Canis lupus familiaris: one gene and its partner. Each later gene encodes a partner of the first gene's protein in a complex. Links are inferred from orthologs where the notes say so. Each region holds a gene or a part of one and is shown in the gene's direction. Other genes may lie near its edges.

What was found.
Region 2: the proteins of NAA50 (region 1) and NAA15 are in contact, whole or in part, in a cryo-EM structure (PDB 6PPL), measured with the Homo sapiens proteins. The link is inferred for Canis lupus familiaris from reciprocal best matches to the Homo sapiens genes NAA50 and NAA15. Residues at the interface, in NP_079422.1 of Homo sapiens: Arg5, His14, Asn15, Lys17, Gln18, Arg21, Leu22, Val25, Phe51, Asn52, Ile54, Ala55, Leu80, Pro82, Tyr83, Leu86; in NP_476516.1 of Homo sapiens: Pro369, Pro370, Thr371, Leu374, Ser403, Thr404, Pro405, Thr406, Leu407, Ile408, Phe411, Glu433, Ala436, Leu437, Asp438, Thr439, Ala440.

The regions. Positions count from the first base shown.
Region 1 is NC_049254.1:18,657,608-18,660,231, reverse strand, and holds part of NAA50 (N-alpha-acetyltransferase 50), read left to right. Parts: intron 1-276; coding exon 277-343; intron 344-1,346; coding exon 1,347-1,524; 3' UTR 1,525-2,624. UniProt on the Homo sapiens protein: N-alpha-acetyltransferase that acetylates the N-terminus of proteins that retain their initiating methionine. Has a broad substrate specificity: able to acetylate the initiator methionine of most peptides, except for those with a proline in second position.
Region 2 is NC_049240.1:4,067,927-4,071,758, reverse strand, and holds part of NAA15 (N-alpha-acetyltransferase 15, NatA auxiliary subunit), read left to right. Parts: intron 1-1,096; exon of another isoform or gene 1,097-1,191; intron 1,192-2,022; coding exon 2,023-2,192; intron 2,193-3,832. UniProt on the Homo sapiens protein: Auxillary subunit of N-terminal acetyltransferase complexes which display alpha (N-terminal) acetyltransferase (NAT) activity. The NAT activity may be important for vascular, hematopoietic and neuronal growth and development.

The DNA.
Region 1 (2,624 bases):
TTTTTGTTTTCCTTTTACCTGTAAAAATATATAAAATACATAAAAAACTTTTATATACAGGTAAAATATATATCTGTATATAAAAGTTGTTTTTCTGCTAGGAGTTTAAAACATCTGTAGATAACGTTGAGAGAAAAAATTTTTAAAAATCAGGTTGTCTAGTGTTTACCTCAGATTCTCTTAGGACCCAATAAATGTTAAGATGGCAATTAGATATATAATGTAAAGATTGATTTTTATGAGATTACTTATTTGTTTGTCTTGTCTTGTTAATAGGAACTAAAATGTTAAATCATGTCTTAAACATCTGTGAAAAAGATGGCACTTTTGACAACATCTATCTGTAAGTAAAATAATATTTAATGTCCTTAAAGATTTTAATAGATTGGCAATAAAAATCTTTACTAGAAACTTTAAAATCTGGTTAGTTATTTCATTGTCTTTTGGAAAAACCATGGAAGTTTAATGGTTATGTTTTGTTTTGTTTCAATAATAGATATGGAATCTGACTTAAAACATTCTCATTTTGCTTTATTATGTTGGAATGGGAGCTCCAAAATCACAGAGATGAAACCAAGATTAAAACTCAAGTGTTCAGAATTGGCGAATTAGTATCATTAATACTACTTTTCTCATGCTGTTTGCTCTCTGGGTTTTGTTTAAGGTTCTTAGTGCTATGTTCATTAGTAGTAGAATTCAGTAGTTAAAATCAGAGAGTACCTAGCTGATATTTCTATCTTAAGAGAACTCAAATTAAGAACCAAGGCTATATCACAAGGGTATTAAGATTGTTCTCATTTTAACTTTGTCGGTGGGAGAGATTATATAATGCTGTTTTAAGGAGCAATTGAGAAAGCTCAAATTATTTATTATCAAAATCTGGCATTTTTTAAAATAAATCCGTGAGGATATATTCAGGCATTTGAAACTCTAGTTATATTATTTTTCTGTATTTTTTCCTACATGTGTAAATATGGCTTTTGAATTATCCCTATGGTTATTTACCCATTTTTAATTACAGGAATCTTTTTTTCCCCTTGAAATGAAAAATATTATGCTAGCCTAAGGTACTTTGTCCTTTGCTGATTGTAAAAGTAAACACTATTTCTGAGTCTCCTAACCTCAACCAGCTGTCATGCAAATGTAGCAGGTTAATAGTATACATTTGTCATCAAAGGTTTTTCTGAGATGAATACTGACCTTTGTTGATTACCAGTAATTATGAGAAGAATCTAACAAATGTGTGCAGTATTCCAGCTCTAACCAATTGGAAGCTATTTGTGGAGAATACACAAAAGCTGACAAAATCTTATTTATTTTTTTTCTGATACCCTTCTATATCTCAGGCATGTCCAGATCAGCAATGAGTCGGCAATTGACTTCTACAGGAAGTTTGGCTTTGAGATTATTGAGACAAAGAAGAACTACTATAAGAGGATAGAGCCCGCAGATGCTCATGTGTTGCAGAAAAACCTCAAAGTCCCTTCTGGCCAGAATGCAGATGTGCAAAAGACAGACAACTGAACAAATTAGAAATGAACTTTCTTGCACTTGCTTGTCGCCAAATAAAAGAGAGGCCCATTGATTTTTTTTCCCCCCTCTTTCTTTTCCCCCTCCTTCCTTATTCTTGTTTGTCCTCCCTTCTTTCTTTTTCTTTCCTCTGAAAAAGGTTTAATACTTCCAAGGACTTTCAAAATTAATCATGTTTGGATTGTTTTTAGTTTTCTTATTTTTGTGAGGTGGTTTGATTGTAGAAAAGAGGAGGTATAGATATGTTTGGTTTCACAGTTAAGATATATATGGTCCCAAAAAATTGGGTGTCAGTGTCAATTTTTTTTTTATGTCCTGCTTTCACATTGAAGGGCAGAGTCTACAAAAATGTTGTATATATCAAAAGACAAAAAGAAATAGCAGCAATATCTTGTTCTCTAATTCAAAGACAAGTTTAGTGTGTTTGTGGTACTTTGGGTTTTTCAAGACTGTGGGATACTAATCCCTAGACATTGCCTTCACTCCACCTTTTGTCCTTCTGAGTGTTATCTCAGGAGTTGGACCATTGTTATCCTTGTAAGAAATACTAAGCTTATCTTGTTTTTTTTTAAGCAATTATTTCTTTATTCCTTGCTGAGGGTGGGTGGGACAGTTTGGGTAGATAGTGTTTTACTTTGGTCTCAGTATTTGAGTTAAACTGCTTTTTGCTAATGAATGGGCTGGTTGGTAGCAGGTTTATTTTTCCTGCTGTTGATTGTTCTTAGTGGCATTAACTTTTAGAGTGTGGCTGGTGAGATTAATTTTTTTTAATATCCCAGCTAGAGATATGGCCTTTAACTGACCTAAAGAGGTTTGTTGTGATTTACTTTTTCCCCCCTGTCCTTTTTCATCAGTAAACTCACAATAGTTAGTCTAACCTTAAAAATGGGAGTTGATGTCCTTATAGGTCAGTACCCCTAAATAAACCTGAAGCAGGTATTGTCTCTTGGACATACTAGAAAACACCTAAAAGGAAGCTTAGAAGAACTCGTGGCACAATAAATGCATTTAATGTCAGCTAATGCAGACTGTTAAAAGTGTGGCCACTGAGCATTTGATTATATAGGAAAATATATCTAGACAGTATTTTTGAG
Region 2 (3,832 bases), on another chromosome or scaffold:
ATATATCTCAACTCTCTTATAAAAAATCTATAGGTGTTCTATTTGCTCTATTTCCTGCAATTTATTTGCTTAAAATTTTGAATTTTTTTTTCTTAAGTTTTCTACAGTCTAGATTTTGCTGAATGGACTTGCATGGTGTTGCTTAACATGTTCTTCTATTCTCTGAGTTGTTACAAATTGGTAGTTGGCTGTAGAGCTGTGCTGTCTAGTATAATAACTGTTAGCCAAATGTGATTATTAAAATTTTTAAATTAAGTAAAATTAATAATTCAGTTCTTCAGTTGCAGTAGCCACATTTCAGGTGCTGCTCAATAGCTGTGTAAAGCCAGTGCCTACTACCATAATGGCCAGGGCAAATACAGAATGCTTCCATCCTTGTAGAAGCTTCTAATGGACAGGTCTAGGTAGAGGCTTAATGAGATTCACTTTTTTTTTTGTTTGTTTCTTTTTAAATACAGAGGGTGAAAAAGGTTTATTTCATGGGTGTGATGTAGTATGTTCTTACACCAGGAGGCACTTAGTGTTTGTATGTTAGCAACTGTCAGGAATTATAAGCTAGTGATAATCTGTCATTCATCTTTATTATCTTGAGAAATTTCCCTTCATCTGTTACCTGTTTATCCAGTATTTTGGTTTATATAGGAAAAGCAAGATAAATGCTGCTGCTTTCCCCTGTATCTCATACTTTTTGTTGTTGTTCTTTATCAGTTTTCAAAATAATGAATTCATTTAGTAGCATCCTTCAAAGATGCCAGAGCACATTTTAAAGGTATTATAAATTCATGGGTTTAAACATACTTGATGTTTTAAATCATTGCAGTTTCAAATGGTTCCAGCCTTCACGTAGCTTTTTTGCAGTTTGGTATGACCAGATATTCCAGTTCATCTGGTACACTGCCCATAGCAGACCTGGAATCACTTGTTTTTCCAAAGGAGCCCTGGTTCTTAGTGGGAAAGCCCAGTATGGGACCTGGGATGCTCATTGCTATTGGGTTGATCATTGTTTCTAGGTCTCAGATTAATTTTAATAATACTTTTTAGAAGGCGTTACCATGGTTTCATTGGTTAATCATCATGATGTTCCTTTGATTATCAGCATTTTCCTACATATTTTACAAATGTGGAAGAGGTTCAATGACATGCCCAAGAATATGCAGCACTTTAGTTGCAGATCTATCAGATCGGGAGTTGGTGAGTTCCACTCCTATTGTTTGTCCACTGAGCCATCCTACTTTTACTAGGATAAAAATAAGCAATCCATTGCTTTCTTTGAAAGCAAATGACAGTTCTTAGATTTTAGATATTGGTATTAAAAACTATTTTATAATGTGTGGGTTGTATATTTAACTTACACATTTTCTTGTGAGTGTATAAAAAATTAACTAAAATGTAGAGTAAGCATTTTTACTTCTGTCATTTTTGGGGTATAGTTTTTATTTGACCTAAATTATGCATCGTTGCACATCAGCATAATATTAAAATATATTAATATTATAATCACCCCAAACTCAACCACATTACAAGTATATTTATGTATAGTTTAGTACATTAGCTAGAAACCCAATTAAGCAGTCAGGCCATTTTTTTTTTTTTAATTTCACATTAATGGAAAATCAATATTTTTGATACCTTTTTCGCCCCTCATAAATAACATCCTGATCATTACACTTTCATAGTACTAGCACAACTTGTCTACCCCCACTCCTTTCAGTTTCTTTTTTTAGGTAATTTTTAATATCTTTGATCTCATTTATCTGCCATATTTATTATATATATAAAGTTCTTACTAAATTCAAGGCATTGTGTTAGAGGTTGTAATGATACAGAACAGACAGCATGATCCCTTCCAAAGATCTTATAAATTTAAGGATGGTTTTATAACTAGATACATAAATAAATAGTTCAAACTGCTTTTCCTTATTAATAAAGATAAAGCCATTTGGAGGTGGGTACTCTCATCATATATGTAATGACTAATCTTGGCTTATTTCCTCTCCCACCCACCTCTCCCACTTTTTAAAGATGATGGAAAAGAGGAACCACCAACCACATTACTTTGGGTCCAATACTACTTGGCACAGCATTATGACAAAATTGGTCAGCCATCCATCGCTCTGGAATACATAAATACCGCTATTGAAAGTACACCTACATTGATAGAACTCTTTCTTGTGAAAGCTAAAATCTATAAGGTAAAATATTCCCCCCCTTTTTAATAAGGTAATGAGTCTTTTAAAAACTGTTTTCTATAATTTTGTAACAAAAATGATATATTTGATGGCTCGGAAAACTTGGAATAAGTGTAGAACATTTCTCAGTCTGTTTATTTTTAGATTTGTCATGGTCATGATAATTTACTCATATCTCTACATACACATACAGATATACATGCATATGATTATTCAGATATTTTGTTGTTCATATTATATATTCTTTTAAAAGAAAGATATATTAATTAATTAATTTGACTGAGAACACGCATGCACAAGCGGGGTGGGCAGGAGAGGGAGAAGCAGGCTCTCTGCTGAGCAGGGAGGCCGATGTGGGGCTCAATCCCAGGACACTGGGATCGTGACCTGACTCAAAGGCAGACACTTAACCAACTGAGCCACCCAGGCGCCCACATTCACACATACACACGTCTGGTTATTTTCTTGGTTTTAAGTAGTAAGAGTATAGATACTCAGAAGTATTTAATTTACTGTGACAGGTTTGTTTCTCTTAGCATTTGAGTATGATCATGATCAGTATCTGGTAATTTTAATGAAATGAAACTGAAGATTATATTATTGTTCTTGTCTTCTTAACTTTTTAAAAGATTTTATTTATTCATGAAAGAGAGGGAGAGGGAGAGAGCGAGAGAGGCAGAGGCATGGGCAGAGGGAGAAGCAGGCTCCATGCAGGGAGCCTGACGTGGGACTTGATCCTGGGTTTCCAGGATCACGCCCTAGGCTGAAGGCGGCGCTAAACCGCTGAGCCACCCAGGCTGCCGTCTTCTTAACTTGTTGCTGTTACTTGAGAATCTTCAATTATATGTTTTAGCATGATCTTAAAGTTGGCTCTTCTCTTTCTTAATACAAATAAAAGTTAGTAATAAAAGCTCCTTTTTAAAAAATTTTATTATTTATTTATGATAGTCACAGAGAGAGAGCGAGAGAGAGAGAGAGAGAGAGAGAGAGACACGGGCAGAGGGAGAAGCAGGCTCCATGCACCGGGAGCCCGACGTGGGATTCAATCCCGGGTCTCCAGGATCGCGCCCTGGGCCAAAGGCAGGCGCTAAACTGCTGCGCCACCCAGGGATCCCAGTAATAAAAGCTCTTAGGGAAGAGATTGTGAACTTAAAATTTATTTACCAAAAAAGGGATGCCTGGGTGGCTCAGCGGTTGAGCATCTGCCTTCAGCTCAGGGGTTGATTCTGCGGTCCCAGGATCGAGTCCCACATCGGGCTCCCTGCATGGAGCCTGCTTCTCCCTCTGCCTGTGTCTCTGTGTCTCTCATGAATAAATAAATAAGATCTTTAAAAAAAATTTATTTACCAAAAAATAATGAAATTAAGTGTTGTTTTAAAAGCACTTTAAAAAGCCAGGTTGTGCTCATAGTTTTGTGGCTTTGACAAAATGGACCAATAATGTAAATTAGAATATTTACATTATTAGAGCCTTGTGGAATGTCCAGTAATAAGGAGTAATGTTTCCGTGGTTCCTTTAGGGTAGAAATTTGGCCATACTTTTGCCCTTTTTAAAAAAAAAATTTTTTTTTCGATGTTGAATAATTTTTTTAGATGAGTGTTCTTTTATGTTGACAGAATTTCTCTTATGCTCAGACATGATGC